7 linked regions of the Callithrix jacchus genome follow. The protein of the gene in region 1 interacts with the protein of each later gene in a pairwise test. Links are inferred from orthologs where the notes say so. Each region holds a gene or a part of one and is shown on either strand. Other genes may lie near its edges. The genes, in order: VCP, UBXN8, SLC43A3, RNF115, EPSTI1, LNX1 and LZIC.

Region 1 (3,500 bases):
ATCTGTATGCAGGATGCATGTGTGTATACAAATATATAAAAGTGAGACTAGGTATGATGGTTCATGCCTATAATCACAGCACTTTGGGAGGCCAAGGCAGGTGGATCACTTGAGCCCAGCAGTTTGAGACCAGCCTGGGCATCATAGTGAGACCCCATCTCTTTCTTTCTTTCTTTTTTTGAGACAGAGTCTCATTCTGTCACCCAGGCTGGAGTGCAGTGGCCTGATCTTTGCTCACTGCAACCTCCACTTCCTGGGTTCAAGCAATTCTCGTGCCTCAGCCTCCCAGATACCTGGGATTACAGGCACCCACAATGGGGTTTTGCCATGTTGGCCAGGCTGGTCTTGAACTCCTGGCCTCAGGTGATTCACCTGCCTCAGTCTCCCAAAGTGCTGGGATTGTAGGCGTGAGCCACGGCACTGGGCTGACCCCATCTCTTAAAAAATAAATAAATAAATACAAGGGAAAAGCATAAAAGATCAAAAAAAGAAGAAAAAGAAAATGAGATGAAGACATTCCAAGCTGAGTTTCTCTAAATCATTCCATGACCTAGTGTGCAAAAACTCAACAATCAACAATCCTTAAGCTCAGAATTAGCTCTCACCTTTCCGGATGGGTCGATAAGCTTCCAGGAAGTACGGCTTAAGGTATACCTCAAAGAGATTACCAGTAATGCCTTCCACCGTGTCATCAATAGGCAGCACATGGATACGTTTGCCATACTTCACATCAGGGCATGGCTGGATGCTGAGGATGACAAGCAGACTCCATATTACCAACCACACTTCGGGCCCAAGCACTGGGTGTCCAAAAGGGCCTGGCAGAGATAGCTGATAGTAAGTAAAAAAGAAAAGGCAGGGATGGCTTTAGGTGAAGAGCGGAAGGAGAACAGGGTGGAAGTGAGAGCAAAAGAACAGCCCCACTCACTCCTAATCAGTGAGCCAAAATCAAGAGCTACACATTTAGAAACCCCACAAAGATATGCTGAGTCTTCAGTGAGATATGCTAGGATAATCCCCTTAGCTAATATTGATGACCCAATATTACAAAAGAAGATCTTAAGCTAGTAATTGTCAGGGTCAGAGAAACAGAAGTGAAAAAAATAAAATTATCTCTGCCAGGTGGTCAGAACACCTTGAGAAAGTGACTAAGCACCATCAGGAAGAAAGTTACATGAAACTCAGACTCCATTAAAAAGTATCAGAAGCCTAAGATGATCCTGGCCAGGTGATGGTTGGCTGGATAGGAGTGGCAAGAGATGACTCCAAGTTGGGGTAACTTCTTGCCTAAAATTATGCAAGAATAAGCAAAATCACTCTCAATGGAGCTATCCTGGGTCTGACTTCAACTATCCCTTTCTCCCTAGTTAATTTAGGTGCTTAAAAGGTCTGCTACCAGCTCACCTTCCATGCCCATACCGCAACCTCATTCCAATCCGAAGCCATTAATTGGACATACTAGTGAGAGTAGTGAGGAGGTCATTTAGCAGATACATACCCTCAAGTGGCATCCTAAACCAAGCTTTAAGTATGATAAATTACATCTCTGGTAGGAAAAAATAGGGCATCAGGAAAGTTATAGGAATGCCAATTTGTCTCAAGGGACATTCAGAGAAAATCTGCGAATCCCAGGAAGGCAGAACCAAAATCTAAAGACAACCCTGAAGTGTAAGTCTTCCCATGGCCAGGAGGCTTCCTATATCTACAGGTGCCAAGAACTTGGTCCTGCCTGTGTAATACATGGGTCCTGCCTAGAATGCAGGCTATCTCTGGCCTCCCATCCCTGCAGAGCCAAAAACCACACACACACCTGATGACATCCCCTAGGCGTACACGAAGGTTATTCCGAACAACTCTATTCATTCGAATCTTCTCATCAGAACACGTGTCATCAGAAAGGACGATGCAAACAGCTTCTCGTCTCTTCTTTCCTTTCAGCAACACTGTGTCACCTCGGAACAACTGCAATTCATCCATCTTGGGCTGAGGAAAGAAGGTTAAGGCCTTTTGGTCACTGGGCAGAAGGGAGTAAGCAGCAGCCCTGGAGATTGGGAGTCCCAGTAAACCCCACTCTATCTGCAGTCACTGCAAGAAAAATGAGAAAAGAAACCTGGGAAAATCCCTCAAGTAAGTCCAATAAGGAAAGACTAGTCTGTGGCCTCAGCTTACCTGGGACAAGGACACCACACTGTTGTCCTCATTGATGGCTTCATCAACAATTAACCTATTGGGACGGTTCTTCTGTTTGAGAATGGCTGTTGATAAGTCATCACCTTTTGAACTAGAAGGAGAAAACTGAGTCAGTCCCAATAGATACTCCAGCCCCAAGAGCCTCACCAGTCTCTAAAACTCAAGAAAGAAATAGTGACTAGATGAAGCTGTCCCTAAACCAGAGAGCTCAGATGAAGGAAAGGCAGCCAAGGTCACAAGAAGAATATCTAGCATTAGATATATCCATTAGAATATCCATTCCACACACATTAGAATATCCATTCCATCAGCTCCTGGTATTTTGAGCATCAGTGTCCAGCTATAAGGCCCCAAGTGAGTAATCCTGCCCCAGGATCAGAAAACAGCCTAAGAATAAGACATAATAGAAATGGAGGCTAAATAGTTATTAGAGAAATAAAAGCAGTCTTAGACTTACAGAAGAGTGGTTAAGAGCAGGAACTCTATAGTCAGACCCATTGGGTCTAAATTCCAATTCTGCTCCCGCTTGTGATCTTGGGCAAGTTACCTAACCTCTAAACTTTGATGTCCTCCCCTATAAAATAGGGAGTATAATACTTATCTCAGAGGTTTATTGTCTTAATGGAGATAATGAATGTAAAATGCTTAACATAATACCTGGCACATGGTATTAATGGTCACCATGATTAACAGTATAAAGTGGGCTGGGCGTGGTAGATCACACCCGTAATCCGAGCACTTTGGAGGCCAAGGTGGGCGGATCACCTGAGGTAGGGAGTTCAAGACCAGCCTGACCAACATGGTGAAACCCTGCCTTCCAAAAAAAAACACCACAGTATAAAGCATAAACTAACTTTCCAGGGGAATGAAGTAAGCCAGACAACTTCCCCTGAGATGATTCCATGGTACCAAAGGAATGCCAAGCATAAAGACCATCATATTTGGAAAAAACACTAACAGACATGAACCCACCAGAAAGAGGCTCAAGGTCAAAAGAAATTGCACAGTAATTTCTGCAAAAGCACAATTCCATAGAGTTGGCTCAAAAAATCAAAACAAAGAAATGCTGAGACATGGGGCAAATCCAAATCCCTCTCACCCAAACCAAGGTCAACTGGGTCTACACTCAGTTTGTTATTTCCTAGAAGCTAGGATCATTCAACAAGCAGTGATACCAACTTATTACCTAGCCCATCTCCAGCCATCACTGGACTCAGTGTTCTCTTTTTTTTTTTTTTGAGATGGAGGCTGGAGTACAAAGGCATGGCTCACTGCAACCTCTGCCTCCCAAATTCAGGTGATTCTCCTGC
Region 2 (4,089 bases), on another chromosome or scaffold:
GCTGAGGCAGGAGACCTGCTTGAAACCAGGAAGTGGAAGTTGCAGTGAGCTGAGATTGTACCACTGCACTCCAGCCTGTGTGATAGAGTGACAGACTCTGTGTCCAAAAAAAAAAAATTTAGCTTAAGTATAAGCAAAATGTATTGACAATAAAGGTTTTTACACAGTAGAAAAAGACAAGGCTAGTTTTCCAATATATGTCTGAATATTAGAGGCATAACCAGCCCTGCTGCCGCTATAAAGTATGATTTGTAAAACTGATTTAAATACTGTTAACAAGTAATTATTGGAAGCTCACTATCAAGAATCCAAAAGCAGCAAAATATGTATATGTGTGTGTGTATAAAGAAAGCCAAAAAAAAAAAAAAAAAAGAAAACAATCCAAATGAAACAATCATTCCTTCAGAATTCTATGAGAAAGAAGCTAATTCCATGAAAATTTCAAGAACTAGATAAAGATGCTGCCAGGAGCCTGGTTGCAATTTCCAGAACCCTTGTCCCTAGTTCTATTAAACTAGACACTGTGGTAAGTTCTGGGAATACAAATACAGATTTCATTTGGCCTCTGCCTTCAAGAAGCATATTTCTGACTGGGCATGGTGGCGCATGCCTGTAATCCCAGTACTTTGGGAGGCCGAGGTGAGGGAATTGCTTGAGCCTAGGAGTTTCATACTAGCCTGGGCAACATGGCAAAACCCCATCTCCGCAAAAAATACAAAAAAATTAGCTAGGCATGGTGATGTGGTGCTTGTAGTCCTAGCTACTCAGAAGGCTGAGGTGGGAGGATAACTTGAGCCGGGAAGTCCAGGCTTCAGTAAGCCATGACCAGGCCACTGCAGCCTGGGTGACTGAGCAAGACCTCGTCTCAAAAAATAGTAATAATAAAATAAAGGAGCAGAGTAGGAGTGGATGTTGAAAAGACAAGGGAACAGGTCAATTTGGGAAATGGTAAGTGTGAATTCAACATTTCTGATCCTTTGGATAAAGGTCTTGTTATATTTTAACACAGCTTGAGTGAGTGGGAAGCTTCAGGAAAGTCTTTGTACATTTTTTAAAGCATTTTTTCCCCATTTTTTATTGCAGGCAACATTTCTAGACATCTTACTCCTTGGGGGTAGGGAGAAAAGGTGGAGAAAGGGAGTATACAAAGCTCAGTTTCATTATGGTCTCTAACTTTAGAACTGATTTTAAAAAGGGAGACAGACATGTAAACTGATCACTCAAATGTCCAAAAATCAACTCATGATTCTCAGCACCTCCACCAGTTTTCTTTCCCTTTTCCCTTTACCAGTAGCACTACCAACCACCTAGGTTTGTTCAATTCCCCCATGAGGCAGTCATCCTTGAATCCTTCCTTTCCCTTGCCACAAACATCAACCCATCAACAAAGCCTGTTGGTTGATCCTATTTCATCAATATCCCAAATCTGTCTACATTTTAACTCCTGTTACTGTCCTACTCCAAGCCATCACTACTTGTCTACTTGCAAAGCCTGATGTACCTCACTGCTTCCACCATAGCTTCCATCCAAAGCATTCTCCATACAGAATGGAGCTACCTTTTTAAAACCTTAGGGAAGTCACTTAACCTCCCTAAATTTCAGTTCCCTCAACTGTAAAATGGGGGTTATAATAGTGCCTACCCAGCCAGGAGCAATACCTCTGGCTTGTAATCCCAGCACTTTGGGAGGCCAAGATGGGTGGATCAGGAGGTCAGGAGTTCAAGATCAGCCTGGCCAAGATTGTGAAACCCCGTCTCTACTAAAAATACAAAAATTAACCAGGTGTGGTGGCTGGCGTCTGTAATCCCAGTTACTCGAGAGTCTGAGGCAGAGAATTGCTTGAACCTGGAAGACAGAGATTGCAGTGAGCCAAGATCTCACCACTGCACTCCTACCTGGGTAAGAGAGGGAGACTCCGTTGGGGGTGGGGGGTGGGGGGAAGGGGGATCTACCTTCTTCTGATTGTAGTGTAGATTAAATGACATATTGAATAACCAGTACCTACTGCTTGGTTTACAATAGGTGTTCAATAAACGTCATTATCCTGAGCCAATTCCTCTTCCTCTCCCCAACTCTCCTCGATTCAGCCATAATGGCCTTCTTCTCCTTTTCCTCCAACATCTCACAAACTTTTTGCCTAGAATACTCCCCTCCCCCATCCCTTCCCTGCCCCCACGGGATTTTCACGGGTGTGGCCCCTTATTTACATCTCAAAGCCTGGTGGAGTGGCGCAGGCCTGTAACCCCAGCACTTTGAGAGACTGAGGCAGGAGGATCTCTTGAATCAAGGAGTTCGGGGCCAGCCTTGGCAACATAGTGAGATCCTGTCTCTAATTTAAAAACAAAACAAAAACCTCTCAGCCTAATAAATTCTTAGAAGGCCTTCATCCTATCAGTCTGTTTATTCCCTTTTGAGTGTTAACGAGGATGTGAAAATACTGTTATGACTGCCATTATGCTCTTCGCCTCTGTCCTGTCACACGCAAAACCATCACACCTGTAGGGAAAAGGTTCTGCGAAGTGGAGTCAGCACCGGAAGTAGGAGGCACGGGCGATGCAGTCGGGGAGTTGTAGTCAAAGCTGCTCCGAAGCGACGCAGCCGGAGAGTTGGTCATTCTATGCAACATTCCTGTGAAAATTACCAGCTGTGACTGTCGAAGGGAAAAAGCCAACACTTGCCTATATCCGGGATCCCACGCCGGAGCTCCAGACACACAAGGGGGACAGCAGAGAGAAAGAAAATGCCAACAACCTCCCGTAAAGCCATGGTGGCGGAAGCGCCTGGTCCAGGTGGAAAGCCCACCCCTTCCGGCCGCTTTTGTCAGGGAGGAAGTGCATCTTCTCCTGCGGCGGGGAGGCTGAGAGAGAGCGGAATCCTACGGCTGCGTTGTTATTGATGGGGCCTGTATTTTTAATTCAGTCTGTAGCCGTGTTTCAGAAGAAAGGCAAGTCGTCCCCCAGATGACATGATGTCCAGAAGAGCGTGGGCTCTAGGGTGGTGGCTCCTTGGAGGGTAGCAGGGCAGAGGCTGCCCCTTCGGTTTCCGTAGCGTCGGTGAGTAAGCGCTCTCCAGAGGGAAATGAAGCCGAAGGGAAAGCTGATGCTGTGAGGAGACAGCCTGTTCCCGTGGCCTTGTGGCCGTAGACTGTGAATGTGAGCTGTAGCACCTTTCTTATCTCCCTAACGGTTCCTGGCCCTGTCCACAGTCTTTGGTTCCTGCGTTAAGACAACTCAAAAGCGGGGCCTGGCTCCAACCACCTACCCCCAACACGAATGTCCTAGCGCCAGGTCCTACCCCTTGCTCCGCCCCTTATCAGTTTTGCCAGCACGCGTTGTTAACTGTGACCTCATAATTCTGTGACCTCATTGCCATCCTATAACTCACCACTGTGCACTTCTCCCAAGCCACTGAGGTCTCCCAACCTACAACATTTCATACTTGGAAGTTATCTTTCCTGGCCAGGCACGGTGGCTCACACCTGTAATCTCAGCACTTTTGGAGGCCGAGGCAGGCAGTTCAAGAGGTCAGAGTTTGAGACCAGTCTGTCCAACTTGGTGAAACCCGTCTGTACTAAAAATACAAAAATTAGCTGGCCTTGGTGGCGGGCGCCTGTAATCCCAGCTAACTCAAGAGGCTGAAGCAGGAGAATTACTTGAGCTCGGTAGTCAGAGGTTGCAGTGAGACAATTTTGTGCAGCTGCACTCTAGCCTGGACGACAGAACAAGACTCCATCTCAAAAAGAAAAGAAAAGAAAATTATCTCCTGGCCGGGTGTGGTGGCTGACGCCTGTAATTCCAGCACTTTGGGAGAAAAAAAATTCTTTTTCCTGACCTGTCCATCTGTTCTCCCACCTCTTCAGTTTAGTTCATCTGACTTTTATTTTTTGAGACGGAGTTTCGCTCTTGTTACCCAGGCTGGAGTGCAGTGGCGCGATCTCGGCTCACTGCAACCTCCGCCTCCTGGGTTCAAGCAATTCTCCTGCCTCAGCCTCCCGAGTACCTGGGACTACAGGCGCGCACCACCATGCCCAGCTAATTTTTGTATTTTTAGTAGAGACGGGGTTTCACCTTATTGACCAGGATGGTCTC
Region 3 (2,498 bases), on another chromosome or scaffold:
GAGTAATCACAGGAGCAAAACCTCATGTGCTCCCACCACGTGTTAAGTAGTTGCAATGACTTTACACTCTCACAATCACCGTCAGGGATAGAAATCATTAACTGTTCTTTGCAGGTGGGGAAATTGTGACTCACAGTGGTTAAGGGACTTGCCCAGCTGCTGAGGGGCAGAGCTGAGACTCAAACTAAGACTCTGATTCCATCCAGTGCTTCTAGCTGGGAGTGTGAAGTGGGCAGCAGGGGTTCTGCTTAAGGTTAAGGGTGTGGAGAGGAAGAGGAAGCAGAGAGGTTCCCGGGGGAGGAAGTCTCTGGCCCCATGTTCCAGGACCAGTGGGGTGAATCCTAGTTGGGGTCCCTGCCCTACTTTTGGGTCTAGTTGCCACACTAGGATGTGTAGCCAGATTCTCCGCCCTCCCCTCATGCCAGAGTAGGGCCTCCTCAGGAACATACACATACACACACACAGCTCAGCCCCAAAGCCTAGAGAGATGGAAACAGTAGTTGCCTTAGACACTGAAGCTTTATTTTTCTACAAAATTATTCCCCAGAGAAATTTTCTTTTAAATGCCCAAAGTATATTCCTTCTTGAAGAGGAAAACATCCCCAAAGATGGTTTGTCAGAAATCCTTTGGTCGAGCAGGTCAGCTGGCTCCCATGACCCTTGGGACGGCCTGACTCTGTCACTGTCCCTAAAACCTTCTAGGACATCTGCTCCAGGAAGAACTTTCAACTCCAAAACTCATCTCATCCTACAGATGGGAAAGTGATTCTCAGACCAGACCAGGGTCAGGCCAAGGTCATCCAGCATCAGTGGCTGGGCTGAGACTGAGCCCAGGGAACCCTGCCTGCTCCTCTTTTTCCCAGAGCTCACTGTGAGTTCTCTAACCAAGGCAGTGCTCTGGAGGGAGAGCTAGGAGGGAGAGCTAGGAAGTATAGCTGAGGCCGTGACAACCTCACTCTTCACCTGAAAATTTAACCAGTGGCAGAGGATCTGGGCACACCTAGGCTTTAGAGCCAAACAGGCCTGAAGAAGTAGGTGACACACTTCCTCCCCACTGTCACCTCCCCTGGAATCAAGGGTCTGCCAAGGCTAAGCGCAAAGAGACACTTTGGTTTTTAAATAAAGGAGAAGTTCCACATGCCTTTGCTTTGTGTCTGTGTGATCTCAATCTGCTTGGCAACTGAGTGCGGCTCAGAAGTCGTTGTTAGCAGTTAAATATGTCTTTGTTTCTTTTTTTTTTTTTTGCCAGGATAGGCAAAGTCTTTCGGGGCACATAGTCCTCAAAGGTGGAGAAAGATAAGCAAAACCATCCTCAGGGCTGAAAAGCCAGGGCTTCTGAACTATGCAATTGCAGAGGGACTTTCTTTCCGAGCGCGGCATTCCCGGTATACCAGAAAGGGGTGGACGAATGTCAGAAGAATGGCAAGCAGGAGCATCACGTTTACCTGCAGGGAGAACAGGAGTGAGGTGAAATCCAGGAATTCTGAACAACAGAACTGTTGCTCAATGAAGCAAGCACCGGTCCATTCCAAGGCCAATGAAGGGACCAGAATTCTACTGAGTTTATAGTCTACTTTTCACTCAAACACTATGGTGCCCTGGAGGAAGCAGTTACTTTCTATTCTGAACTATGGGGTGGGGTGGGAGATAATAAGCCCATTTCACAGGTGAAGAAACGAGGCCTAGTGAGCATTCAGTGGCATGCTCAAAGTCACATGGGAAGCTGGTAGAGGCACCAGCTAGAATACAGATCTGATTTTTAGGTCACCTGATGTCACAATCAAGTCATTCGCCTCAGACTTCAAGTTTAGTCTTTTGGCCATACACGGTGGCTCACGGCTGTAATCACAGCACTTTGGAAGGCAGAGGCGATCACTGGAGGCCAGGAATTCAAAGCCAGCCTGGGCAACATAGCAAAACCCCAGTGTCTATCAAAAAATAGTAATAATAATAATAATAATTAGCTGGGAGTGGTGGCACATGCCTGTAGTGTCAGCTACCCAGGAAGCTAAGATGAAAGGATCACTTGAGCCCAGGAGACTGAGGCTGCAGTGAGCGAGACTGTGGCACTGCACTCCAGCCTGGGTGATGAAGAAAGACCCTGTCTTCCAAAACAAAAACAAAAAACATTTAGTCTTTCTTTTCTCCAAGTGATGAATTTTAAACTCTTATTCGACAACTTGCTGCTTTAAAAAATGAGGCAAATAGAGCTGTGCAGTGGTCAAGACACCGAATTCAATGTTGAAAGACTTTGGCTCCCTTGCTGGTGCCTCTGAACACATAAGTCATGTAACCTCTGTGGGCCTCAGTTTCTGCAAAGAACAGGGGAGTCATGCCCACCTCCTAGGGCAGGGCCCCAGAGCATCCCTCCAGGTGTAAGGACACAGAGGTGAAAGCACAGAGCTCCTGTCCCTGGGGCCAATTGTGGAAACTCAGCATGGACCTAGGGGAGAGGCTAGGGTGCGCCTGCACTCACCATAAGCAGGAAACACTTTTGA
Region 4 (2,898 bases), on another chromosome or scaffold:
GCACTTCGGGAGGCCAAGGCAGGCAGATCACCTGAGGTCAGGAGTTTAAGACCAGCCTGGCCAACATGGCAAAACCCCATCCCTACTAAAAATATAAAACATTAGCTGGGCATCGTGGCAGATACCTGTAATCTTGGCTGCTTGGGAGGCCGAGGCAGAAGAATCACTGGAACCCAGGACGCAGATGTTGCAGTGAGCTGAGATCATGCCACTGCCCACCAGTGTAGGTGACAGAGTGAGAGACTCTGTCTCAATAATAATAATAATAATAATAATAATAAATCCACAAAGAACCCTAACTCCTCAACGTAAATTAACCTGGACATCTGAGGTACCTCCCATTATGAGAAGAAACACAACAGATTTGTTAAGAGGGACAGGTCTGGGAAACAGCAAAATGAGTCTCACGTCCTCTATCCATCAGAGCAAAAACAGTGAAGAAAATTTCAGGTAACTTAGTCTGATGCTATGTGCTATACTGTGTATAAAAAGGCAGATCCCTATCCAGCACTTTGTCTCTACCACTTGTAAAGCTTTCAGATCTTTGTAAAGAACTCAGATCCTTTCTAGTTCTCTAGGCATTAGTTCTCTAGCAGAAAGTAAAACTACTGCCTGTCCTGGCATTTCCAGACGCTGACAGACAAACAAAAGCGTTCAGGCTGTGATAATTTTTCTGAGACAACTGACATTGTGTTCTTGAAAACTCTAATGAGACAACTGACATTGTGTTCTTGAAAACTCTAATGTGTTCCAACTTCAACACAGCCTTCCTCCATCTAAGTCACGGCCAAATATTCATAATTCACCTCATTTCCTTAAGTCTCCCTCCCCAGTTCAAAACCAATGTGTATTCTCAAGCTATATTTCAGGGGCTACCCACAGTAAGTAGATCTCATTCCCCAAATAAACAATCACTACAGAGGTGTAATATGGGAGGTATATGAGAAAACATCTTTTATTCCCTCTGAGCCCAGCTGAATCATACTTTCTGGTCACAACTTTTAGAAGCAGGCTATTATTGCAGCAGGCCACTCCCCAACTTTTTCTTTGCCCTCCCTGACTCCTTTATCCGCTACCAAAGTACAGGAAAAGGTATCTCTAGCCCCCTTCCATCACCCACAAATCAGCATATGATAGTCAACAGAAACTGGGAAAGACTTCTAGCCAAGAAAGAAACCCATTAGAGAGTGGTGCTCTTGTTCTGATCATAGTAAACTGTCAAAGGCTAATGTGACAACATTAATGGTGCCCCTCTATACCTTCTTCAGGCACACCAACAGCTGTTACATGTCTCCCCTTTTGAGATTTTGAAGTTTACACAACATTCCTTACCTTCTTCATTTATTCAACGTTAAACACTTAAATACTACAAAGAGCATGGGCATGGGGTGCTACTAGGCTGAAAATATAAGGCCTACCTCTCCCAGGCCAAGCTGATTTGGACATGATCACGTTGGTCAGTATAGCCAGAACCAAGCGGAAAAGATGAAAAATAGGCTTAAAGAGTTAAAATGTGACAACGTAAAATCTGAACTCCTGAAGACCAATGAGTTACTAAAAACAGTGAACTGGCTGAAGATGCTTACTGCATCTATTTCTGTGACACAAATTATTTTAAGATTACTAGGAAAAAAGACAGTAAACAATGAGTTGAGCACTTTGAGATGTTGAGGCAGGAGGATCGCTTGAGCCCAGGAGTTTGAGACCAGCCTGGGCAACATGGCAAAACCCTGTCTCTATAAAAACACAGATATTACCCAGGCATAGTGGCACACGCCTGTAGCCCCAGCTACTCGGGAGGCTGGGGTGGGAGGATCACTTGAGCCTGGGAGGTCGAGGCTGTGGTAAGCTGAGATCGTGCCACTGTACTCCAGCCTAGGCAACAGAAAGAAACAAACAAAATCAGTGAGTTGGGGATCATTTTTTACACTCTTCAAAGCAATGTATGCTGCCCAACTCTTTCCCAAAAAGGAAATGGAATCAGATTCCTACCAACATAAGGCTCCCAAAATACATTATGTAGCTTTCTGGGGAAACTGCATCAACAGAAGTAGTCTTTAAAAATGAAAGTAAGAAAACTAAGCACATGATGGTAAAGCCCTTTTCCCTTCTCACCGTAATTCTTTGATTTGTGCTCCAGGAATCAAGACAAAACAAAATCATTAGTCTTAGATTCCTGAATTAATTTGGCCTCACCTCACAGCTAATGTGATCAAGAGTAGATTTTTTTAAATATAATTAAGACAAAAGGACTTATATCAGCAGGACTTTAGGGCTGTGGTTCCACTGTTTTTACAGTAAAATACCCTAATGGTGGGGTAGAGGGTGGAGAAGGAGGTGGAAACCTCTGTTACAAAGGCGACATGGCAGATAGCAGGACCCTAACCAGACTAAGGGATTGATTCCATTCAGGTGGGGGGAGTACTACATAATTCAGTTTCACACTTATAAAATTATCACTCTGAATTCACGAATAAGAGGCATTTGGTTGTAGATACAATTCCATCTGTAGATACTAACTTTAAATTTAGAGAAGAAAAACATTCATTGCATTAATATTATGCGTTGGGTTTCTTATGTGATTCCTATATCCATCTACTAATTTTTTGTTTTGATACAATTTACAGCTATGGTCAGATGATTACCATAGCCCTGATTCAGGTGTGGTCTTTAGCTTCAGAAAGTCCATCGGTCATGTAGCTGACTGTCATTGCTAAATCTGTTGCTTGCAGAGGCCTCAGAGCTCTGGCTTTGCTGAGTAGAGTCCTCACCATTTAAGCTCTTCCTACATACAGGACATGTGTCATGCTGAAACAGAAAAGTATTAGTCTATGTGAAGATCCTGGCCTGAGAAGCTGGGAGTACTGCACACTTAAGTAACCCTGAGAACTGTCACAT
Region 5 (3,969 bases), on another chromosome or scaffold:
TTGCCACTTATTTTACTAGGGTTTTTTTGTTTGTTTGTTTGTTTTGAGATGGAGTTTCGCTCTTGTTACCCAGGCTGGAGTGCAATGGCGCGATCTCGGCTCACCGCAACCTCCGCCTCCTGGGTTCAGCCAATTCTCCTGCCTCAGCCTCCAGAGTAGCTGGGATTACAGGCACGCGCCACCATGCCCAGCTAATTTTTTGTATTTCTTTTTTTAGTACAGATGGGGTTTCACCATGTTGACCAGGATGGTCTCGATCTTTTGACCTCGTGATCCACCCGCCTCGGCCTCCCAAAGTGCTGGGATTACAGGCGTGAGCCACCGCGCCCGGCCTTTCCTCGGTTTTTCAACTCCATTAAAGGAAACAAATGAGAAAGTGAATCTAAGTAACTAAAGGAGATCATCAAACAGGATCTCAGACATCAAAGCCCTGAAAGGGGATATATAATTCTGTACTGACTGCAACCGCTTCACACACACAAAAAGGGGGACTCTGTGAGAGAGAACTAAACTCTTCCTGGTATTTTTTAATGGGTTATTTGAAAATCTTTTTAGGAATTGCAGGGTTTTAAGACCTGGGTAACCAATCAGAAAACTCTCTTTCTGACCAATTTGGTCTAGTAAGATTCCAGGGTAATTACGACCACATAAGAAAACAGATAGATGCAACTGTTAATGCTTATGTGATGATACGAGCTTCCAAATAAATGGTTAGATCTAAACAAATGCTGGCCGGGCGTGGTGGCTCACGCCTGTAATCCCAGCACTTTGGGAGGCCAAGGCGGGTGGATCACGAGGTCAAGGGATCAAGACCATCCTGGTCAACACGGGGAAACCCCGTCTCTACTAAAGATACAAAAAATTAGCTGGACATGTGGCACATGCCTGTAGTCCCAGCTACTCAGGAGGCTGAGGCAGGAGAATTGCCTGAACCCAGGAGGCAGAGGTTGCGGTGAGCCGAGATCGTGCCATTGCACTCCAGCCTGGGTAACAAGAGCGAAACTCCGTCTCAAAAAAAAAAAAGACCTAAACAAATGCTTTTTAAAAAGTCATGCAAATGGTATTCGTCATTAACTACTCATGGAGATGAGACCACATGTCTATGACCTTTGTTACTGTTAAGTACTATAGCTTGTATATTTCAAAGTAAAGGCCTGCTTCTCTTGTGGTGAGACACCAATTACTCTGAGAAGGAGAGAAATGCGACCATCTCTAATTGATTTCCAGCTTCTCTGCCCCATGTAAGGGTGAACCTAAGCTGAATAATAATATTAAAGGCCTGGTGCTTCCAAAAGGAATGAAAGAAAATCTGCTGTTCATCAGTCATAAGGATACATACGGTTCCTTAGCAACCAGGGCTTGGCTTTCATACGATTAGAAGTCGATGGAAAAGGAGACACTGAAAATAAAACCATTTGGACAGTTCCAGTTCACAGAGGCAGCACTTTAAAGGCAGTGACGTTGTGATAAGCCATACTGTTGACTTAAAGAAGTTCATTCCATTGGGGGGAAAGAGAGGCCCGTGACACTTGCTTAATAAATGTTTCCTGGATATTCACTGCAGTCGCTGAAGCAAAAGCCAGGAATAAATGCTACCTATGAGTTCCTGCATGGAGCACACATCAAAGGGACAAGAGATACTACCGTCACTCACCTCCTCACTGTCTCAGCTCCACTCCTCTGGTTCTAAGAGGCTAGTTTATCTGGGAGTCTTGCTGGGATTCAGGCTTGCTCCGAGCTAGAGGCAGAATCTGAATTTTCTACACCATGTCACGTTTCCTGTTGACCCTTACCTGCTGGTGTCTGATATAGTAATTCCAATTAGGGCACCAAATTTTGTTATTTTGTTTTGTTTTGAGACAGAGTCTCACTCTGTTGCCCAAGCTGGAGTGCAATGGTGTGATCTCGGCTCACTGCAACCTCCGCCTCCTAGGTTCAAACTATTCTCCTACCTTAGCCTCCGAGGTAGCTGGGACCACAGGTGCGTGCTACCACATGCAGCTCATTTTTTATTTTTAGTAAAGACGGGGTTTCACTATATTGGCCAGGCTGGTTTCGAACTCCTGACCTTAGGTGATCCGCCGGCCCTGACCTCCCAAGGTGCTGGGATTACAGGCTTGAGCCAACGCGCCCTACCAGGCATCACGTTTTTAAAAACAGTAAGGGAAAACCCATTTCCATACTGGTTGGAGTATGAGTTCTGGAGATACCTGGAAAATGACATCGTACTGGATGCCTAGGGGGTTTCTAAACACCGCGTCTTTCAACTCTGTCGTCAGTCACCAAAGTCAGGAGAGTGATGTTCCTGGAAGGAACCCGCCTGAGTATTTACCGAAGGGCTGCAAACTAGCCGACTCAGTTTATAAGGAAAGGCATGAGTGCTTTCATTAAAGCAAATGAGTTTTTCATTCAGTCAAAATCCCTGTGGTTTCAAACTCCAAGGACCATGAAGGTGCTTGTGAGTACGTTTGGGGCCCGGGCTCCCGCCCCCAAAACAGGTTGTTAAAACACTTACTGCCTCCGAGCCGCTTGCACGATGCTCTCCCGCGAAGGGCTCTCGGGGGCGGCCTCCAAACCGTGTCTCTGGTCTTGCAGCGGGCCCAGCTCCCCGTGCCGCCCATAAGGGTCCTGGGGGTCCCGGGGGTCCCGGGGGTCCCGGGCCGGGCGGGAGGCAGGGGAGGCGCCGAGCCCGGAGCTCGCCACTCGGCTGCGGGTGTACATGGCTCACAGCCCGCGGGTCCCGCGCCGCCGGCCGCTGCTGGAGGGGAGCGGCTGGGGCGCCCCGCGAGTCTCGAGATGCGATTCCAAAGTGCAAGGGCAGCGCTTTTAACGGCTGAGTTTCGGTTTCCCGGTGTCAGCTGCAGACTGCGCCGCCCCAGAGAACTTCCCCATCCTTTCTCCACGGAGGCGCCCTCCGGCCTCATCCCCAGTTAACGGCGGGGGGATGTTGACTGGAGCCGGCTTGGGTCGCTACAGGTGAGACCGTTTAAAGTCTCACAGTCCACCTTAGAGGTTAATCAGAATAACTGTGACCAGCCACGGACACCTGTTGAGCGACTGGCCCGTAAAGTGACTGCAATCCTGAAACATAATTGAGAAACTGTTAACAGGTAACTCTAATTTAAGGTTACCGCTGGATATTTGAGGCTATAAAAAAAATAGTAACCTTAAAAGACCAGAGATTAGGTTAGTAGCTAAAATCATCTCAACAAAATGTTGCCTCTTATCAGGAATGACTGCTGTGTGGCTGTTACCAACGCAGATACTTTCAAGTTACAGGAAATGGAAACTGAAATCAAAAGAAAACAAAAACCAAAAACCGGCGAAGATGAAGTAAGGTAGACATGATTCTCCAGGCAGCCTTGCTAAGTAATTCACTAGACATTGGAGAGCTATTAAATACCTGCTCTGTGCAGAGCAGTGTGCGATGGTGATGTGGGGCTGTTTAAAAATATGGATTTGTGGCCAGGCACGGTGGCTCACGCCGGTAATCCCAGCACTTTCCTAGGCCAAAAGAGGTGGATCACCTGAGGTCGGGAGTTTGAGACCAGCCTGACTAACATGAAGAAACCTCGTCTCTACTGAAAATACAAAGTTAGCCAGGCATGGTGACGCAGGCCTGTAATCCCAGCTACTTGGGAGGCTGAAGCAGGAGAATCCCTTGAATCCAGGAAGCGGAGGATGTGGTGAGCTGAGATTGCGCCACTGCACTCCAGCCTGGGCAACAAGAGCGAATCTCCATCTAAAAATACATATATATTTATATATATATATGGACTTGCAAGACTCAGTTTCTGTAGGTCCGTGGGTGAACTATGGCATTCATATTTTTGAAGAGCTCTGAGATGATTCTGAGGTGTGCCAGTATTCTCGCCAGTGTCACAATGCTGTCCTACACAAAGATGAGTGAAGGCTCTTCCCTCACATTACCTGCATTCTGGGAGTATTCTAGGAGACAGGTAAACAAAT
Region 6 (3,500 bases), on another chromosome or scaffold:
CCTCAGCGCCACACCTCACATGTGGTTGAAAGAGTAAGAAGAGCAAATATATATTGCATTTATCACATGCCAGTCATTGTTTTAAATGCTTTTCACTCATTAACTATAATTATTCTTCTTCATATGCATAACACTAGCACCTGAAGGTAAGGGTTTCAATACTTTTTTCTTCCATCTATGTAAAAAGACAATAATTTCTGCCTTAGGCTGCTTATGTGAGAAGTGGGCTAATCAAAGTAAAAAATATTGTATACTCTTGGGAAGAGAGGGGTCACAGAAGGTGGGTGGTGATCAGATGGCATCATCCCTGAAGTCACCCTGGAAGCCCAGCCCGTATCCTTCCAGCCTTGTAGGGAGTTCATTTACCTTCAGGAGCAGTGGTGTTTTCAGAATGTTCCCTGCCCTGGTCAGCGTGATTGGCAACTGTACTCCCGCTCTTTGTCCTTCGAAGAACACTCAAGGCTCGATTTATTTTTTTAAAAGATCTGCTTCTAATAGAGGATCTTTCAAAAGGCCGTGCTGAGGAAAAGAGAGGAACAGTAGTTACGATTTAGTAGAAATCATCATTTACTTACATATCTGATAAGATATATACAATAAAACATTAACAGTGACTACCTCTAGGTGGTGGGACTGTAGAATTTGCTTACCTGTATTTTCTAAGTTTTCTACAGTGAAATATGTAGGACTTGTTTAAAATCCTGCTTTTCTTTTTTGTTTTCTGGGCTGAACTGAACACAATAGCACTTTTCTTGAGCAGAGTGGCTGAGAAATTACTGACACTGCAGGAGTGATGAATCATTAGGTCTCGTTTCAGCCCCTTTCACCAAGTCAGATTACACACAGTTGTAATGATCGGAGGTACTTGTGGTTCATTTCACTTTGGAGAATTGGACATTGGCTTCCTGCCAAAACTACCAGAATAATTTCCCCTTAAAAAAAAACATTTCTAGAACTTTCCACAGTAAGTATTCCACAGAGGGCAATCCCAAGCCAAGGAGCCCATTCCTGGACAACCACCCATTTGACTCACCCCTAGTTCGGTTGCTCCGGCCAGAGTCCACTGGGCTGATCGCTGGCTGACTGTCCTCCGCCGTGGACACGTAGGCAGGGTTGTCTAGGCCAGGCTCGTCTGTCATTAAGGGGATGGTGGCAGCTGAAGAAACCTCTGGGAAGGGAGCCGTGGCTGTGAGGCTCGCACAGCCGTCTGGACAGCCATCTTGTGAGCGCCTCTTCCTGTCTTTGGTCAGGCCGTAGTGGGAGGCACCTTTACAGCTGTAACAAAACCAGTGGGGAGGTGAGGAAGAGCTTTGGCTCTCCTGCCACACCTCAGTCAGACCTCTTCAAATACAATCAATGCGTAAAACGGGCTTGTTGGACTTGGAATCTGATTTGCCTGCCCCTGTATCCTCTCTTCCCTTTTCACAGGTTGGTACTCAACACACATTTGCCAACCAAGTGAATTCACAATTTGAGATTTTTTTTAAAGATGCCCACTGTATTCTCTTAAAGCATTCTCTGCATTAGCTGCTGGAATGCAAATATATTCAAGTCGCCATGGCATCTACATGACCAGCGCTTGAGGTTGGCGATGTTCAACTGTTCGGTAATTCCTGCTTGCTGGTGTTTATTTTGACCCTGAAAGCCCTTAGTCACACTCTCACTCCTTTCTTTTGGATTTTGTTCCCACAGCACAACATAAATATGAAGCTCCTCCCAGATTCCATATTTAACTGTCCATGGAAACACGACCACCCTCGCCACAAAGCCACAGGAGTGAGTTTGTTCAGCACTGCTATCCTCTGGCGGCAGCTCGGTGGCTTCCCTTCTCTTTCTCTAGGCTGGTCTGGGAGGGCCTCTCTGGTGCTAGGGGCTCCCGTGACCTGAAAAGTGTCATTCATTGCTATGCTGTCTAGCATTAAGAGAGTAAAACAGCTTTTGTGGTTTTTAGCAAAAGCATATTTGTCTCTACCCATTCACTGTCCATGTTATAAAAAAAAAACCAAAAACTGTGAGAAAGGCAACTTAATGGTACAATAGAGAGAAGCTGAAAAAGAACAATTCTTGAGGCTCAGGAGACAAGGTTTGAGCTGATCTAGGTCCATATTTTGCCTTGAACATGAACACTGCCACTGGGCAAGTCATTTCAGTGCACAGGCTAGGTTTGGGTCAGGAAATAGTGATTTAGCTATCTCACTGCACTGTGGTGGGGGTAGCTACAGGTAGTCACTCCAGTTCCCAAAGTTGTGAAGGCAAAAATCATACCATGAGCCCCTTTAAGAAGTGTCCATTTGCATATGATGAATGTGTTAATTATAAATTCTTATCAATTCATTAGGCAAAACCCCGTATGATTGAGCTATATTAAATAACCCTTTGATATCCTACTTGAGAGATGCTTCATGTTTTTCAAAATAGTTGAAATCAAAGGTCAATCTACAGTGATTTGCTCACATGATTTGTACTGCCCATAAAACCACAGAAATGGCAGAATGGAAGGTCCTATTGTCTAGATCCAAATCCTTGCTCTGAGATTTACGTAGCTGGGTGATCTGGGGAGATTTTATTTACCTGGTTAACCTTCCCAATTTGCATATACTTTCTGGATTGCTGTGAAGTTTGATCGACATTAAGTCTTATCAGGAATGTAGTGCTTTTTGCCAAAAGTACTAGAATGCAAATTCATTAAAGTCATCATGACTACATGACTACAATCAGATCTGATGAGACTGTAGCTATTTTTTAGACATGTTAAAGCATGAAAAGAACATCTTAGTCTAAGTCCCTTTTAGACCATTTCATCTTCATCTGCAGATGCTCTTTTCAGGCTTTAACATGTCTGAGATCAGGATGCATGTGTGATTGATGGGCCTGTGTGGTTTCTGTTGCCAGGCAGCAGTCATGGTGCAGATGCCACCATCCCAGCATGGCAAACCCAGTTTATATGTACCTCTTGTCACTTCCACTGAGTCAGCTACATGCTTGGTATTACACTAATGAGTTTAACTGCCATTTGAATGTTTTAGAAAAGATTATATCATGATTCAGTACTAGAATCAAAAATTATAGAAAGCCTCAAAACCAGAGCAATTGGATATCGATGAAGCACATATTCCTTGTTAGAAGCAGAATCACAATTCCTATTTTCTTGCAAAGGGACAAGTAAATGTTTTATTTTGGAAAGATCTTTAGAAAGATACCCCTAAGAGAATCAAAGTGGTGTTACATTTTGTTATTGAGAACACTCAAAGAATTGCCTATTTCATGCCAAGCAACACAACCGAGGGCAGAAGCTGCCGCCAAATTCATTTGAATGGATTTCAAAGCCACAAGAGTCTGGTGTGACCAATCTATGCCTCATGGGGATATCTCTGGTGTTTGGGGATTATTTAACTGATGGGACATTTTTAAATGTCCTCTTCTTTGCTGGCATATAAAACATGCTATCTCTTATCATGAATGGCATCTTAGATTAGATTAAATGTAGTTTTAATATTAGC
Region 7 (3,673 bases), on another chromosome or scaffold:
CTGACTTCAGGTGATCCACCTGCCTCGGCTTCCCAAAGTGCTGGGATTACAGATATGAGCCACCACACCCAGCCTGAGTTTTTGACAGTCATAAATCAATATGTAAAAAATAACCTGCCGGGTGAGGTGGCTCATGCCTGTAATTCCAGCACTTTGGGAGCCCAAGGCGGGTGGATCACCTGAGATCGGGAGTTCGAGATGAGCCTGACCAATATGGAGAAACCCTGTTTCTACTAAAATTACAAAATTAGCCAGGCATGGTGGCACATGCCTGTAATCCCAGCTACTCGGGAGGCTGAGGCAGGAGAATCGCTTGGACTCTGGAGGTGGAGTGGTGGTCAGACGAAATCACACCATTGCAGTCGGGCCTGGGCAAAAAGAGCAAAACTCCATCTAAAAAAAAAAAAAAACCCACTAAAAGTTCCAAATAAGGCATCAGTGGAGCTGAGGTCCTCTAATCTGTCTGGTTGGCAAAGCACCTAATAGTTTACAGTATAGAATAAGCTTTAAAAATGCTTTTAATTTGTATAAAGTACAAAACAAAAATATTGAGAAGCACATGATCCCCAGAATACTTAATTAAAATAAAGAAGGAAAAAAAAAAAAAAGAGAAGCACATGAAAGGATATAAAATGGCCAGAGCTTAAGAAATAAGCTAATATACACGCATATGGACATATCCACATATTTGAGCAAGCAGAGACATGTAAATACTCAGGAAATTTGCTTTTCCTCTTATTTTGTGTTTCTCCAAAAACTGAAGAGTAGATAACAGCTGACAGTTACCACCCTCTGAGTGTGACAAGAGGTCACACACAGGGAGGGCCTCTAGCTGCCATTTCCTATTGCTTCCCTGGTGAAACAACCAGGCTGGTAAGTCACTTTAGGAGACGCTCAACAGGGCTCCCATTGTTTCAACCTCAAAATTCTGAGATACAAGGGGCCCCATTCATACAGACAGCTTACAGGCTGGGGGATGGTCCCTTCATGTGCAGTCAACTTTTCAATGGGACACTGAATTTTCACAAACACTGACTTGCACAAATAGTGTTATTTTTTATAAAATGGTACAGAAATAAAATTCAAGATACTAAACTGGGAGCCAGGACACCTGAGTTTTACCTGTCAGTTCTCTAATGTAACTTTAAGCAAGTCACTTGCTCTTTCTGGACCTGTTTCCTTGTTTGTAAAAACAGAAATGATTTCTAAGATCCCTTGGAACTCTAAAATTCTATGAACACATATGAAGTCTACTGAGCTTGCTTCACTGTTCACTCCAATGAGTGGGGATAAGTTACAAGCAGAAAAATATCATTACTACACATCTTTTCATTCACTATCAACACTTAAACAGCCTTAATAAAAGCCAAGTCCACTTTGTTTTCTCTTTTAGACAAATCACAAGGAGCAGAGTTCAGTGAGTCCCTGTCACAGCAAGTTCAGGATCACTCAAGCAGGTAACCCCACACAATGCATAATGATGAAGAGCATAAACACAAGCCATAAGTATACTTTTATGTCACTTTTTCTTAGGTTATTGATGCATTTCCAGAATCTCTTCATTTCTTTGCATAACTGAAAACCCCCAGAGGAAAGACACCATTTACAATAAGAATGTGATCAATGTTACAAGCTTCTGCACCAGGTCATTTTTTTGTTTTTTCAACCTCAAAACTTGCCAGAGCAAGGACTTTGTCTCCAGAGCCTAAGAAGAAAGACACATAATAAACAAAAAGATTATTCAAGTGCAGTACAATTCCTAGTAAAGTGGGAAAAAAATCTATCATATAAACCAAAAATATAATTAGCCTCCATTACCAGTATATTAACGCCTACACGCTCCCATTGCCATCCCCATTTCCTTTCCTCTGCACAAACAACCCAGCTATAAAGGGAAATGTATTAGTTATAAATCCTTACTCCAGCTCTAGCTATGAAATAGAATATGTAAAATTTTATTTTAAAAATTTTTTGTGGTGGAGATAGGTCTTGCTCTGTTACCCAGGGTGGAGCAATGGCGTGATCTTGGCTCACTGCAGCCTCAGATGCCTGGGCTCAAGTGACTCTACTGACTCAACCTCTCGAGTAGCTAGAACTATAGGTGCATGCCACTACACCTGGCTAATTTTTTTCTTTTTAATTTTGTCGACAAAGTGTCTCACATGTTGCCTAGGCTGGTCTAGAACTCCTGGACTCAAGCATTTAATTTTAGTTTATTGTTATATTTACATCTATGTGACAAGTATTTTAAAAACATTAGACTGCATTAATTTATTTTTTATATTGGGAAATAAAACCAATACAACGGATTTATAAACAAAACAATTCTGGTTTCACTCTTAAGCTCAAGAAAAGGTTATTACATTATTTCGACCACACTCTCCATCAGTTTGGAGCAATAGCATATGACCAGCTTTCAGAAATATGAGGGCACTCACCAAGGTCTGTAGAGACTTTCTCAAACTGGCTGAGTATAGCACCTGCATTTGCCGACAAGAAGGCCTCATCATCTGCAGTCAGCTAAACAAAATGAAACAAAGTCTAGTTGAGTGAGTAAATGTTACAGGAGGTTCTAGAAACCAGTTAAGAATGTCTTAGGAGGCCGGGTGCGGTGGCTCAAGTCTGTAATCCCAGCACTTTGGGAGGCTGAGGCAGGTGGATCACAAGGTGAAGAGATCGAGACCATCCTGGTCAACATGGTGAAACCCCGTCTCTACTAAAAATACAAAAAATTAGCTGGGCATGGTGGCACGTGCCTGTAATCACAGCTATGCAGAAGGCTGAGGCAGGAGAATTGCCTGAACCCAGGAGGCGGAGGTTGAGCCAAGATCGTGCCATTGCACTCCAGCCTGGGTAACAAGAGCGAAACTCCGTCTCAAAAAAAAAAGAATGTCTTAGGAGGCTGGGCACAGTGGCTCACACCTGTAATCCCTGCATTTTGGAAGACTGAGGCAGGTGGATCACCTGAGGTCAGGAGTTTGAGATCAGCCTGGCCAGCATGGCCATGATGAAACCCCATCTCTACTAAAAATACAAAAATAAACTGGGCATGGTGATGTGTGCCTATAATCCAAGCTACTCAGGAGGCTGAGACAGAAGAATCACTTGAACCCGGGAGGTAGAGGTTGCAGTGAGCTGAGATCTCACCATTGGACTCCAGTCTAGGGAACAAAAGCAAAACTTTGTCTCAAAAAAAAAAAAAAGAGAAGGGGCCAGGCATGGTGGCTCATGCCTGTAATCCCAGCACTTTGGGAAGCTGAGGTGGGTGGATCACCTGAGGTCAGGAGTTCAAGACTAGCCTGGACAACAAGGCAAAACCCTGTCTCTACTAAAAATACAAAAATTAGCCAGGCATGGTGGTGGGCACCTGTAATTCCAACTACTTGGGAGGCTGAGGCAGGAGAATCACCTAAACCCGGGAGGTGGAGGTTGCAGTGAGCTGAGATCACACCACTGCACTCTAGCCTGGGCAACAAGAGTGAAACTCTGTCTCAAAAAAAAAAAAAAAAAAGTGTCTTAGGACCACAAACTAGACCACAGATCAAAATGTTCTGTATGAAAAATTCATACTTTTTCTTTGTATCTAATATATTAAATACTGGTACCTTTTCTCCAAGTTTCCTGAGAGCTGTTAGTATCTCCACTTTCTGTTGAGTGTACAGGTCTCTTTCCA

Evidence for each region.
Region 2: the proteins of VCP (region 1) and UBXN8 interact in binary tests that used the Homo sapiens proteins (3 or more experiments, as listed by UniProt). The link is inferred for Callithrix jacchus from reciprocal best matches to the Homo sapiens genes VCP and UBXN8.
Region 3: the proteins of VCP (region 1) and SLC43A3 interact in binary tests that used the Homo sapiens proteins (3 or more experiments, as listed by UniProt). The link is inferred for Callithrix jacchus from reciprocal best matches to the Homo sapiens genes VCP and SLC43A3.
Region 4: the proteins of VCP (region 1) and RNF115 interact in binary tests that used the Homo sapiens proteins (3 or more experiments, as listed by UniProt). The link is inferred for Callithrix jacchus from reciprocal best matches to the Homo sapiens genes VCP and RNF115.
Region 5: the proteins of VCP (region 1) and EPSTI1 interact in binary tests that used the Homo sapiens proteins (3 or more experiments, as listed by UniProt). The link is inferred for Callithrix jacchus from reciprocal best matches to the Homo sapiens genes VCP and EPSTI1.
Region 6: the proteins of VCP (region 1) and LNX1 interact in binary tests that used the Homo sapiens proteins (3 or more experiments, as listed by UniProt). The link is inferred for Callithrix jacchus from reciprocal best matches to the Homo sapiens genes VCP and LNX1.
Region 7: the proteins of VCP (region 1) and LZIC interact in binary tests that used the Homo sapiens proteins (3 or more experiments, as listed by UniProt). The link is inferred for Callithrix jacchus from reciprocal best matches to the Homo sapiens genes VCP and LZIC.

Annotation. Positions count from the first base shown.
Region 1 is NC_133502.1:141,946,447-141,949,946, forward strand, and holds part of VCP (transitional endoplasmic reticulum ATPase), read right to left. Parts: intron 2,282-3,500; coding exon 2,170-2,281; intron 2,086-2,169; exon of another isoform or gene 1,984-2,085; coding exon 1,811-1,983; intron 749-1,810; coding exon 606-748; intron 1-605. UniProt on the Homo sapiens protein: Necessary for the fragmentation of Golgi stacks during mitosis and for their reassembly after mitosis. Involved in the formation of the transitional endoplasmic reticulum (tER).
Region 2 is NC_133514.1:31,904,008-31,908,096, reverse strand, and holds the start of UBXN8 (UBX domain-containing protein 8), read right to left. Parts: upstream 2,801-4,089; 5' UTR 2,768-2,800; coding exon of another isoform or gene 2,680-2,767; 5' UTR 2,628-2,679; coding exon 2,498-2,627; intron 1-2,497. UniProt on the Homo sapiens protein: Involved in endoplasmic reticulum-associated degradation (ERAD) for misfolded lumenal proteins, possibly by tethering VCP to the endoplasmic reticulum membrane. May play a role in reproduction.
Region 3 is NC_133511.1:114,978,404-114,980,901, forward strand, and holds the end of SLC43A3 (equilibrative nucleobase transporter 1), read right to left. Parts: intron 1,446-2,498; coding exon 1,341-1,445; coding exon of another isoform or gene 1,192-1,340; 3' UTR 501-1,191; downstream 1-500. UniProt on the Homo sapiens protein: Sodium-independent purine-selective nucleobase transporter which mediates the equilibrative transport of extracellular purine nucleobases such as adenine, guanine and hypoxanthine.
Region 4 is NC_133519.1:8,177,533-8,180,430, forward strand, and holds part of RNF115 (E3 ubiquitin-protein ligase RNF115), read right to left. Parts: intron 2,809-2,898; coding exon 2,677-2,808; 3' UTR 1-2,676. UniProt on the Homo sapiens protein: E3 ubiquitin-protein ligase that catalyzes the 'Lys-48'- and/or 'Lys-63'-linked polyubiquitination of various substrates and thereby plays a role in a number of signaling pathways including autophagy, innate immunity, cell proliferation and cell death.
Region 5 is NC_133506.1:162,102,008-162,105,976, forward strand, and holds the start of EPSTI1 (epithelial-stromal interaction protein 1), read right to left. Parts: upstream 2,801-3,969; 5' UTR 2,722-2,800; coding exon 2,516-2,721; intron 1-2,515. UniProt on the Homo sapiens protein: Plays a role in M1 macrophage polarization and is required for the proper regulation of gene expression during M1 versus M2 macrophage differentiation.
Region 6 is NC_133504.1:143,185,764-143,189,263, reverse strand, and holds part of LNX1 (E3 ubiquitin-protein ligase LNX), read right to left. Parts: intron 1,276-3,500; coding exon 1,034-1,275; intron 520-1,033; coding exon 367-519; intron 1-366.
Region 7 is NC_133508.1:47,804,845-47,808,517, forward strand, and holds the end of LZIC (protein LZIC), read right to left. Parts: coding exon 3,606-3,673; intron 2,521-3,605; coding exon 2,439-2,520; intron 1,706-2,438; coding exon 1,647-1,705; 3' UTR 501-1,646; downstream 1-500.